2 linked regions of the Oreochromis niloticus genome follow. The protein of the gene in region 1 interacts with the protein of each later gene in a biochemical or structural test. Links are inferred from orthologs where the notes say so. Each region holds a gene or a part of one and is shown on either strand. Other genes may lie near its edges.

Region 1 (6,922 bases):
CAGCACATGACCACAGACCGCACATGTCCACAGACAGCACATGTCCACAGACAGCACATGTCCACAGACAGCACATGTCCACAGACCGCACATGACCACAGACCGCACATGTCCACAGACCGCACATGTCCACAGACCGCACATGACCACAGACAGCACATGTCCACAGACAGCACATGACCACAGACAGCACATGACCACAGACCGCACATGTCCACAGACCGCACATGACCACAGACCGCACATGTCCACAGACAGCACATGACCACAGACCGCACATGACCACAGACCGCACATGTCCACAGACAGCACATGACCACAGACAGCACATGACCACAGACCGCACATGTCCACAGACCGCACATGACCACAGACCGCACATGTCCACAGACAGCACATGACCACAGACCGCACATGACCACAGACCGCACATGTCCACAGACCGCACATGTCCACAGACAGCACATGACCACAGACCGCACATGTCCACAGACCGCACATGTCCACAGAGAGCACATGACCACAGACCGCACATGACCACAGACCGCACATGACCACAGACCGCACATGTCCACAGACCGCACATGACCACAGACCGCACATGTCCACAGACAGCACATGACCACAGACCGCACATGTCCACAGACAGCACATGTCCACAGACAGCACATGACCACAGACCGCACATGACCACAGACCGCACATGACCACAGACCGCACATGTCCACAGACAGCACATGACCACAGACCGCACATGTCCACAGACAGCACATGACCACAGACCGCACATGACCACAGACCGCACATGTCCACAGACAGCACATGTCCACAGACAGCACATGACCACAGACCGCACATGTCCACAGACCGCACATGACCACAGACCGCACATGACCACAGACAGCACATGACCACAGACCGCACATGTCCACAGACCGCACATGTCCACAGACAGCACATGTCCACAGACAGCACATGACCACAGACAGCACATGACCACAGACCGCACATGTCCACAGACCGCACATGACCACAGACCGCACATGTCCACAGACAGCACATGTCCACAGACAGCACATGACCACAGACAGCACATGTCCACAGACAGCACATGACCACAGACAGCACATGTCCACAGACCGCACATGACCACAGACAGCACATGTCCACAGACAGCACATGTCCACAGACAGCACATGTCCACAGACAGCACATGACCACAGACAGCACATGTCCACAGACAGCACATATCCACAGCATGCATACACAGTTTCTTGGTAAATCTCGGTGTCCCTCCTTGGCCCGGTTCCTTCTTATCTGTGTGTAAAAACCAGGTCCAGTCTAGCCCACACTCTCCCAACATTACACAAATGTTTGTCCCCTGAGTCAGAACACAATTAAAAAACAACAACATTTAAATATACTGTCTGTGTTTCTGGAATAATCCACAGAATAAACTGAAACGGTCAGAAATAGTTACAATGTGGGACTTTAGTTGTATTTATATGAGCGAGAGAAAAGCTCCTCTGGTTAGTGTGACTGCTGTTGCATACTATTCCTGTGTCTGTGTGGAATACTGCATTTGTTATATTGTCTTTATGTGCTGCCCTCTTGGAAACTTTGATCTGGATAAATAAAGGTTAACAATAAAAATAACAGAAAATTTTATGTACAGTTACAAGTACTTGTATTTTGTTACTTTCGACCTCTGTTACGACGCAGTTCAACTTCAATTCACAGCAACTACAGCTGCCTCGAGGCGTTTTACATACAGATGCACACAAAGCCACTCTAATTTGGAACGTGGGAAAAACATCCATAATATCTAAAACTGCAGTATTAGTACCAGGACCAGGTATTTCAGATTATTTGTTTAGTTTTTTCCAGTGAAGCCCACGATGTGTCCTCTCATACATCAGTGACACATCAGAGACATGTGACATGTAGCAGTGAAATACGTTTGGATGGTTTCGTATACAACATGTTCATAATCATACTGTACATATTTCACATGCTCTGCTCAGCTAAGTATTACTTGTGTGGTTCGTGAGGGTGGTAGGCTGTGAATGTTGGATGGCAGTCTCTCCACTGAAAAGAAATCACATTACTTCTTAATGAGGTCATTTTAAAACTGGAGCCAAAAGAGCTTGAAAGCAACAGTGAATGGAGCTGAGAGAGCAGAGTTCCTGAGCACGCTCTCTATGAGCACTTTAAGGAATCACTCGGTGTGTCTGACAGACTGACGGTCAGTAAACACATCAAAGAGACATTCACGCTTTTTGCTTTTAAATTATAAGTTCAAGAAGAAGAAAAACAACACCACACACACACACACACACACAGACACACACACACACACACACACACACGGTGTTGTTGTTGAGGTTATAGTTTAACCTTCTGCTGTTATCTACATGTATCTACTACTACCAACAATAATAATAATATTTATGCATTAACACAAAACTTTTTCTAATGAAAATGTTGCTGGTCAGATTGGTTAGTTATGGTTGATAGTTAGAATTTGAAAGTCTTCAATAAAGTGACTTATTTAGTTCGCAGCTGTCCGTATAATGCGTAATAAAGTGAAGCGCTCAGACGGTCCGGAGCTGTGCAGCCAGTCACGATACTGCTGATGCTCGCTGTTTTCCAGCGTGTCCCTATTCTGTGAAAGCGACAAACTCGCAAAGGCTCAGTCACTGCTGTGTTACCGTCCACGTCTCTAAACGTGTACTCACGGTGTGAGTCAGTGCAAAGATAACGCAGAGCTACAGTACCTGTGGGCTACACTGTGTTCCTCCGAGGCTTCCACTTCCAGCTCCAACGATCCTCCGTGTTTTGAGCGGGTTTTTTCTTCTTTTCTTTTTTAAAGAGAGATGAAAGACCCGCTTCACGGAGCGCCTGTGTGCAGGAATAAAGTGGCGCAAAGCTTCCTGAAGAAAAGCGGCTCCAAACTTCAGAAGTCCCGATATCTTCTCCGGGAACACTGAGGCAAAAAACACAGAGACAAAGTCAAACTTCAGCCTGCTGAGCCAGTCACGGATGGTTTGGGCTCGGGCTGAACTGTCACTCGGCTGCTCCACTCCCCACTGCACACGGAGGGTGGAGTCACGTCCAGATTTGTTGAGGTGGTTCTTTTGCGCCCAGCTCCTCCCCCCGTGGTCTCCCCACTACGTGTTGTGATGTGTTGGCCATCACATCACGTGATCACTCTATAGTATTAATAATAATACTATGGTCTGTCAAACTGCGCTCTCCCAACTTGAACTTGTTACAACATGAGGCAGCAATTAGCAAATGTTAGTATGCTGTTCGGTGTTTCCACTTTCTTTACCTTTAGAGCCGGGATAGTTTGGTAAATGCTGCCTCTGGCTGTCTCCAAGTTCAAATGAAACCAGCCGTACTGTATACGTTACTGCGCTTATTCATCTTGGCTGCTATGATGCCCCACTCATGGACATCTCTCTAACATTGTAACCTTTGTTTTTCACCCCGTTTAGTGCACTGGTGGACCTGGGCTTTCAATATTCTGCTCAAACAGCACACTCTCACATATATATTTAACATACAACCATGTTAAAAATCATTGGGATTTTGGGGAATTAAGGCGATAGGTGGCCTGTGTTGCATCTCAAATGTTACATTTCATGTCAGTACAATTAGAAAAAAGACCTGAAAACATACGACTTGTTGGAAGGGTTGCCAGGCGAAAGCCTCTTCTCTCTAAAGTCAGTGTGGTAGCACAGCTTAGCTTTGCAAAGCTGCAAAATGAACAACAAAACACAACAATATCCTTCAGATAGACGATACCAAAGTGAAGACGTCTGGCAGAGTGCAGAGGACCACTTTTAAATATCAGCACAAACTGTGAAGCACAGTGGTGGAGGTGTGGTGATTTGGGCACCTTTCAATCACTGAGTGAAGCATGAACTGTGGACCATCTGTCAAATGTGAGTCCATCTGTCTGACAGTTAAAGCTTGGCTCTAATTGGGTCATGTAACAGGACAATGATCCCAAGCACAGCTGAAAAGAAAAGAGTCAAGCTGCTGTCGTACTCTGAGGCTAAGATTTCAGTGGTCAAACGGAGTCATCCAAAGCATGCAGCACCATATTAATGACTAGCCTCGTGTTGAGGATTGTCTCAGGCGTTATCTTGAATGGTCCGATTCACGTTTTGTTTTCCGTGTGACTGCAATCATCCATTCAGGGACCCTCACATTTACTTTCATTATTATTAGTTACCATTATTCCTCCGTCTTCATTACACCATGTTAGCACCACCAGGTAGCACACCATTATATGTCAGCTAGCCAGACTTCACTAACCCTTCAAACACTCTGTCTTTATTTATGTCTGAAGTGATAGCAGAGCTGTTTTAGTCTGTGATGTCTGAACATGGTATATCCTCTTCAGATGGAAACTAGCGAGCTAACTTCCTGCCAATTTCTAAGTCAGTTACAATATACCTGTTTTTCATTGATGACCTCAGGTTAGGTTTGTGTACTATGTTTGAGGTAACTTCTTTAAATATGCAATCATTTTTTAAATGGATTTATTTCTTGTTGCCCAGCAGTTGTAGCAAGCAGAATCCTAATCTGAAGGCTTTGTTGTGCCAAACCCATTGCTTTCCCAAGAGGAGCACCTCAGACTCTCTGCAGGCTCCTTTTGTGAATGTTCCTGTTTAATCTTATTATTCATATTACTATCTGTGTGGATGCTGGAGCAGATGGGGGTGAAGGCTAGATTGGAGCCAGACAGGAGAAGAAAGCAGAGGAACAAAAAAAGAAACAGGACAGAAAGACAAAATAAAGCAGGTACGCAAACAAATATGTGAGTGAGAGACAGAGAGAGTGAGAGACAGTATGTGAGTGTCTGCTTTATGAGTGTTTGTTAGTAAATATACTTGAAAAATGAGGGTGAAAGACTGCAGCTGTTCATCTGGATGAAGAGTTTTCAGTGGGAGAAACGTTTCATCACTCATCCAGGTGACTCTTCACTCTCAGCTGACTGCAGGTTTCCCCAACAGTACATTTGGTTATTGACTGAAACTAGCACCACTGATGAACAATGGACTGGGAGGTCAGTACCAGGGCCACTGATATGCCAGACCCACACAGAGGATGTGGACAAGGGGGTGAAAAGACAGCACATTCAAGAATTCACAGAGAGTTGGGGAATGGCTGCAATCACAGCATTGTAAGATGGTGACAGATGGACCCTTAGGCCCCCTCCTCCATTCACAGATGGTCTTTCCCTTTTCACGTAAATGGCCTCCTTGACTCCGCCCTCAAACCAGCGTTCCTCCCTGTCCAGGATGTGTACATCCTCATCGTTGAAAGAGTGTCCACTGGCCTGTAGGTGTAAATAGACTGCAGAGTCCTGGCCTGATGAGGTGGCTCTGCTGTGTTGTGCCATCCGCTTCGCTAGAGGTTGTTTGGTTTCCCCGATGTATAAATCCTGGCAATCCTCCTGGCACTTAACAGCGTACACTATGTTACTCTGTTTGTGTCGGGGGACCCGATCCTTGGGGTGGACCAGTTTTTGGCGCAGCGTGTTTTGGGGTTTGAAAGCCACAGAGACCCGGTGTTTAGAAAAAATGCGTCTCAACTGTTCCGATACTCCTGACACATATGGGATCACTACAGGTTTTCACTTAGGCAGCGGTTGTCCTTCTCTCCTGGATCGGCTGGAGCTTTCTTTAGGTGCCTTCCCAGCTTTGACAAAAGTCCAGCTGGGATAACCACATTTACTCAGGGCCTTCTTGATGTGATGTTCTTCTGCCTCCCTGGCCGCTGTGTCTGTGGGGATGGTGTTCGCTCTGTGTTGTAGCGTCCTGATGACACCCAGTTTATGCTCCAGTGGATAGATAGATAGATAGATAGATAGATAGATAGATAGATAGATAGATAGATAGATAGATAGATAGAATTTCATTGCTTACAAATCCATATCAAGGATTCAACATTATTTGATCAGATATATTTAACTATTTACAAGTCTAACAAACTGAACATACACAAATAAAACCATTTTCAGCACGTAAACCACAACAACAACAAACTACATGTTTACATAAACTAAGCACCCTGTGTTTAACACCCGCTTAATCTCTGATCTTATTTGATATCTATTAATGAACACTTAAGCCTGGGTTACTCTGGCCTTGATCTATAAAAATGAGGAGACAATGAGACGACTCAGTCACTGAGAGGAAGATTTCCTATATTCATTGCGATTTATTATTTTTGAACAGGCGTGTGAGATTTTGTATTGATGTACTTTTCTTGATCTCACCTGTACAGGTGTTCCACACACTAACTCCTCTGACTGTAATGCTGTGATAGTTTACATTTGTCCTTACTACTGGCTTGCTGAACATAAGGATTTCTCTCAGGTCAGGAGTATTTGGTCTTATTTGGAACAAGTTCTGAATGTTGTGGGGCAAAGATTTCTTTGCTGCTTTGTACATTGTTTGCACAGTTCTGAGGTCGACCAAATCTTTAAATTTGAGAATATTTAATTTGATAAAAAGTGGATTTGATGGTTCTCTTGAAGTAGTTTTATTTATTATCCTTATTGCTCTTTTTTGCAGAATGTATATTGGATGGGTGTGTGTTTTATACATGTTTCCCCACACTTCCACACAGTATGTCATGTAAGGCAGTATAATAGAACAATAGAGAGTATATAATGACATTGGATGAGAGTCAAACCTTAAATACTGATCCATATGTGTAGGTTTACGGTACACATCAGCTTTTAGATGTCCCCCATTAGTGAAGGAAATCTCACAGTCTATGAAGGCTAACCTGCCACTTTTCATATCCTCCCTGGTGAATTTGATGTGTCGGTCCGTCGAGTTAATGTGATCCGTGAAATGTGGTACGTCCTGAGATTTGATTTTCACCCAGGTGTCATCCA
Region 2 (6,945 bases), on another chromosome or scaffold:
AGCGTGTTCAGGGAATGGAACATTTTGGAAAAAGAAGCTCTTTGATCAGTTAAATGTTGTGTGACGAGAACAGTGGCTGGCAGGTTCACCTGTGAGTGTTAAATCTGGCTTGTAGCAGTCAGTAAACACAAGCTGTTTGTGTGAGCACTCTGCCGGACCAAATGAATACTGGAGACAAGGAGCTGAAACTGTAATCATGCTCATACCAGAGCTGCAACATGATAATGATATCTATAAAGCTTTACGAGGTCACTTCTGGTAAGTCACTGGTTCCAAACCTGGATGTTGGGACCCCCTGAGGGGTCATGAGATCAGTATGAAATGCTGCTAGATGTTTGAAATGGAACTTTTTATCATCTTGGCTCCCTGCAGCTGGTGACCTGGCCAGGTTGTACTCTTGCAGGAGATGCAAGGTGCAGGACAATTTTTCTACTTTCTGACAGTCAATACATAAGCAATATAATCTTTAGCAAGTCTCTCGTTCTGCAGATGACCTTGCACTCCACCATTACAGACTGCAGCTCTCGATATTAATCCTTGTTCTCTGTAGCTTTGATTAAAAACCACTAAATAACTACTACAGTATGAACTCAGATAAGAACTTCTTAGACACCAGCTGTAGTCTAAGAAGTTGGAAGGTTGGATGGAGTAGGTCAGAGCATAGGGAGGAAGTACTTCACAGCAAGAGAACTTTCAAAATAAAAGTGCTTGAGGTTTCTTCCTGTTAAAAGGGAATTTTTCCTTCCCACTGTTGCCAAGTGTTTGGTCATAGGGGAATCAACTGCTTAATGGGATTTCTCTTTGTTTTTATAGGGTCTTTACCTTACAATTAAAAGTTCCTTGAGGCAACTGTTGTTGTGATTCGGTGCTGTATAACTAAAACTGAATTGACCCCAATAGTCACTGCAGCTGGCCATTAAAAAATTTCCCCCAAAATGCTGCTTAAACCTCAGTTTTTTAAAAGGCTAACTTAAGGGTTTTGAGTGCGCAGGTGAGGCAGATCATGTTAGATTTGCATAACCCAGCTAGCAGTTTCCCCTCTTTTCCAGTCTTTCAACTATTTGAAGTTTACTAATTATTAGTTGTGGCTTCTGGTTACGGTTAGAAAACTGTTATCATTAGAATGGACTTGTGTACTGGTGGACTGGGCCCACCCAGCGGTAACAGGTCATCAGAAAATGCACTTCTTTTCCAAACCAAAAATGGTTTCCGAACAAAGTTTTTTCCCTTTAAAGTACTTGAGTAGAGAGAGAGTAGAAAAGCACTATATAAGAATCAGTCCATTTACCATGATGATGTAATTGTATTTTTGTCATGTATTTTTTGCCACACCCTTTACGGTCCCTATTTAGAAAAAAGTAACATTATTGCTGTTCTCAAATCATCCAAATGTAACTCAAAGGCGACATAGTAACTCCTCTGGTTTACAGTCATTAACATGTTAACATTACCAGAAACATTGGCTAAATAACTTCACTTGGTACAAGTGCCAACAATGTCAGCCTTTCCATTCGTCTGGTGTCATGATGAATAGTTCACCAACAGGAAACATAACTGTTACTAACTAATGCTGATTTTTTTCCCCTTCACCTTCCTTCTCAATATCTCACTTCCTCATCATGAACCAATGACTGCCAAAATGATAAAAGCCTGCTGACAACAAGTTACATTTCTCTGTCCTATATAATCTGCTCTGCTGGTTAACCCCCTAATGTCCATCACATTAAACTTCTTATTGAGGCTAGCCAGCTTTTCAGTTTCAAGGGGGATCAGTGAGCGGAAGCCCTACAGTCCATAAGAGAAAACACAGGAATTAGCCCTAGATTAGGCATCTTAAACGGCCATGCAGCCCATGGTGGCTGGAGATGTACTGGTAGGCTGTGTGGGGGCTAATTCAGCCGGCAGTGGGAGGCCCCGCTTTCTGCCAGGTCATAGAGCAGAAATCCACAGACAACTGACAGGAGCAAACATTATGATGTTAGCTGGTGAAACACACTGATTTATTTTATTTATTTATTTTTTTGGCAACTTGATGAATGACATTAATTACTCCACAGTTGAGAGCTGGAGAAACAGCCTGGGGCTGATCGAGAAAACACACTGTGGTGGTGGTGGTGGTGGTAGTGGTGCTTTTAGTGATCAACATGGAGCACGCAGGCAGCAAGGTGCTCTTCATCCGTCCACATGCCTCAGTGATGGCTGAGGGAAACTACAATACGGAGCGTCCACAAGCATCGCTCTGCAAAGACAACACAAAGACGGTGCAGCCGGCGCACGATGTGCCGCTGACACCCGTGATAATCACGCGAACATCGCTCATATTTAGGTCAGTCTGAAAGTAGCCTAATACTGTTTTCACATCAGCCAACCCCCTCCCTCCTCCTTCCATCCTCCGACCCCCACACTCCCCGGCCTCGGATGGATGGACGGCGAGTGAAGCTGAAATATAGGGGTTCCATTTTCACTCCACGATCAATGGAAGCGCACCACAGCCCTTTATCGCATCATGCCAAAAGCAAAACAGACACACACACACGCGCGCGATCCACACCACGCCTCGGAATAAACTGACACAAAAAAAAAACAGCAAAAAAACATCTGGCACACACTTCGACACACACACATTAATACAACATGCAGCCATATTCCCAGCACGCTGTCATGCTCTAGCAACAAAACAAAAAAAATTCTAGGCATTTGCACAAATGGGAGGTGTGAGACGAGCGGAAAGAGGAAACTGGAATGACATTGCGCCTGCTTACTGTAAAATAAATTCCCTCGGGGAGGATGGAGAGCCTCCTTTTTCCCTCTTGACTCCCCTCCTTTCCGACGTGCGAATTTCCCGAAATTCAGACCATGCAAAACAGGTAGTCAGTCATTCCACCCCTCCGAAGTATTTGGTCCTGCTCGGCGGTAGTGCGAAGGGAGAAGGCACAACCAGCATCCGAGAGAGGAGACAGCCAGCTGTGGGGAGGAAATGAGGAAGGAAGGAAGGAGCGGCCGGGCCGGAGCACTGCGCACAGGAGAGAAGGCAAGGAGAGCGGCAGAGGTGCTCTCTCTCTCTCTCTCTCCCTCTCTCTCAGTTCACAATACAACATCACCCTATCCTTGCCAGACAGACGGACAGACGGCTTGGGTACCAGAGTCCGCAGCGACACCCACTGGTGATGAGAGGAACTACAACATGGAGATGATAAGTACCACGGAAAGGCAGCAGCAGCTGGAAGAGACAAGTATGTCTCACTTATGTTACTGCAGGCACTTTTATCTTTTAACAGTATACTTCTCTAGAAAAGGTCACAATTTTTTCTGTTAAATAGGCACGAGATACCGAAGACACTTCAGCATTACGCATTTGTGTCTTGATTTAAAGAGTTAGCTATTTTGGCGGTAGAAAACAGCCCTAGAGACTGCCATGTATTTCACACTGGCTTTTATTTTTCTATGCACTTCTATAAATGTCTTTAAACAATCTATCCACTGGCACCTTGAAGCCTGAAAGTTATTAGTCCAAACAAGCTGCAACTGTAGAAAACTTTAACTGTTTTCATTAAAGTTGCTTAACAGGAATAAAACCAAGTACAAAACATATTTTCCATAACTTAAGAACTTCCAGTGGCAAACAACAAGGTCAATGCTGCCTTGGTTATAGAAAAATTGGAAAGATGATTAAATTATAGATGGTAAAAGCTACAGCACAACAAAGTAAGTGTTTATAAAGTATATTTTGGTTCCCTAAGCTGTAAAATTGTACATTCATATTGTTCAGTTGGTTACACAAATACCATTGTAGGAACAACAAGGAAGCCGAAGTACTACAAGGTCAGATAAGATGGGGCCTGATTATTAAGACCTTGTATGTGAGGAGCAGGATTTGAATTCAATTCTGGATTTAACAGGAAGCCAATGAAGGGAAGCCAAAACAGGAGAAATCTGCTCTCTCTTTCTAGTCCCTGTCAGGACTCTTGCTGCAGCATTTTGGATTAATTGAAGTCTTTTCAGGGAGTTTTTAGGACATCCTGATAATAATGAATTACAGTAGTCCAGCCTAGAAGTAATAAATACATGAACAAGTTTTTCAGCGTCACTCTGAGACAGGATATTTCTAATTTTAGAGATGTTGCACAAAGAAGAAAACAGTCCTACATATTTTTTAAATATGTGCATTAAAGGACATGTCCTGGTCAAAAATCACACCAAGGTTCCTCACAGTGTTACTGGAGGCCAAGGTGATGCCATCCAGAGTAAGAATCTGGTTAGATACCATATTTCTAAGATTTTCAGGGCCGAGTACAATAACCTCAGTTTGATCTGGATTTAGAAGCAGAAAGTTAGAGGTCATCAGGTCTTTATGTCTTTAAGACATTCCTGCAGTTTAACTAATTGGTGTGTGTTACCTGGCTTCATGGATAGATAGAGCTGCGTGTCATCTGCATAGCAGTGAAAATGTATACTATGTCTTCTAATGATGCTGCCTAAGGGAAGCATGTATAATGTAAACAGAATTGGTCCTAGCACCGAACCCTGTGGAACTCCATAATTAACCTCAGCATGTGAAGAGGACTCTCCATTTACATTAACAAATTGGAGTCTATTAGATAGATATGATACAAACCACTGCAGCACAGTACCTGTAATACCTACAACGTGTTCTAATCAATGTAATAGGATCTTATGGTCGACAGTATCGAACGCAGCACTGAGGTCTAGCAGGACAAGCACAGAGATGAGTCCACTGTCAGAGGCCATAAGAAGATCATTTGTAACCTTAACTAAAGCTGTTTCTGTGCTGTGATGAGCTCTGAAACCTGACTGAAACTCTTCAAATCATTTTTTTGATATTAAAGGAAGGTTGGAGATTGGCCTAAAATTAGCTAAGACCGCTGTGTCAAGAGATGACTTGTTAAGTAATGGTTTAACTACTGCCAGCTTGCAGATCTGTGGTACATGGCTGATTAAGTGGGACCATTTAAGAGAAAATAAACTGGCTTTCTAACTGTATTAAAACCACTTGCCCCACATTGTGTAGGTCACAGACCTAATAAATAAAATAATTAATTAATTAACAAATAATACATTTTTAAAAATCCTTCAAAGTTTCAGAGAGAGACTAAAATGGATGGAGTTTCTTTCCATTGTTTTCCATGTTTTCCGTGGTTTGGTCCTTTGACCTAATCATTAACGACAAAGTCTTTTGTGAAAGCATAATAAACCACTATGGCTCCCATGGATTCTGCATGATTGCATCATTTCTAGAATAAACCTTTGTCCATAGTGCTCTTAAAATATATTCTCCTGTATTAGATTTTATACAGCAAGCGTTTGTCTCAAATGTAAACTGAGGTGTGTTAATAAGCCAGCTTTAAAATGCCAATAGTTAATACTGAAGGGATCGTTCACTCACAGTATTGGAAAACAAGAAGAGAGCATCTCTAAAAGGCAAGTGAATTGCAGAGAGCTGTCTCATATCAATAAGCTCCTCGTTTGCCGGTGCAGTTGTTTTGCATGGCTACGTTTTCCTGGGGAGAAGTCTAATTAGCCAAACTTCATACACCTGTGTGAGCTGGAGTGTAAAAACAGAGCGCTGTGATCAGAGGAATATCAAAAGCAGCTTTCAGTCAGAGTCAGGAAACATTTTTAATAAGCTGTTTGTTTAAACTGTCTCGACCTGGCTCAGAAACCGTGGCGAAAAAGAGTGAGATGCAGGGAAAAGGTCAAAAAAATACTTGAAATACCTCAAAAACATGAAAGCAACAAAAAACAAAGAAAAAGTCAGATTTATTAGTAGTGAGGATGTGTGAGTGGATGGGTTAATAGTGTGGTGTTGGAGATGCTAAGTGGCACAAACTAAAGAAAGATGCACGTGAGAGAAGAGCTTCACTTGAAAACCCGCTTATTCTAATATTGACTCTTGTTTGGTGTGGTTTGTTGGATTGGATGATTGAAATAAAATGGCATTTAACAAACGGCACAGTAGTATGTTGAAGAACCACACAGGGCCACAAAAGCCTGGCACCTGCTCCTCACTGGTTACCAGCTTTGTCACACACTGCTGTGGGATGAGATCCCAGTCTTCAATCAGTATTTGTCGCCAATGTCATGACAAGTCAGCCAATGTGGATGTGTTGGTCACTCTAGCATGAACATCACGCCCAAGCTGATTCCACAAGAGTTCAGTGAGGTTGAGGTCTGTGCTAAAGTTTTGTGCTAAACCTTAGCACAAAACCTTAGCATGGCTAGCATCCACATGGCCTGTGGAATGAAAATGTGTGGCAGCCTGGACAGCAGAAACGCAGAAGTTTTGACTTTTTTAAAACCTTGCTGGCAACCCGGAGATCCAAAAAAACGAGTAATTGAGTAGAAAAATTCTTGCACTTTTTTTCAGCCAATCGCAGAAATATTGTTTAGCTAGCTTAATTTGGGAGGCTAAAGCTTTTTTTTTCTTCCTCTTTAATTATTTTTCTCTTTCCCCTCACCCTGAAGCAGATGGCAGCAAGCCCTCTATCATAAGGTATTTATCTTATAAATCGCCTTGACTGTTGCCAAATGGCACCATATAAATGAAATTCACTTGAACTGAGTGATCTGTATAGGTGCATATGTTAGAAAAAGGCAGCGCAATAATAATATTACAGCAGTAATTAGTGCTATATGACAAACTAATAAAATACTAGAATTTCGCACAAACTTCTTGGTTAGGTTAAACTGCACAATAAACAATGTTATTTTCCACATAATTCCACGATTCCAAAAGGCACCAACACTACAAACATGGCTGAGAGGTTCAGTTCAGTGACTCTGATTCATAAACGTGCAGCCTAAAAGACAATGACCAGCTACAACTGCTGGTGCTGACACACTTGTCAGCCTTATGATGTGCTGGTATACCTCATATGTGCTTTTTTATGAAAAGGAGAAATATCCATCGAAATCAAAATGGCTTTT

What was found. The genes of interacting proteins can lie anywhere in the genome.
Region 2: the proteins of pdzd2 (region 1) and ctnnd2b form a complex in vitro, tested with the Homo sapiens proteins (2 studies listed by BioGRID and IntAct, with this or other methods). The link is inferred for Oreochromis niloticus from reciprocal best matches to the Homo sapiens genes PDZD2 and CTNND2.

The regions. Positions count from the first base shown.
Region 1 is NC_031977.2:406,756-413,677, forward strand, and holds the start of pdzd2 (PDZ domain-containing protein 2), read right to left. Parts: upstream 3,083-6,922; 5' UTR 2,778-3,082; intron 1-2,777.
Region 2 is NC_031982.2:5,581,763-5,588,707, forward strand, and holds the start of ctnnd2b (catenin delta-2b), read right to left. Parts: upstream 3,081-6,945; 5' UTR 2,763-3,080; intron 1-2,762. UniProt on the Homo sapiens protein: Has a critical role in neuronal development, particularly in the formation and/or maintenance of dendritic spines and synapses. Involved in the regulation of Wnt signaling.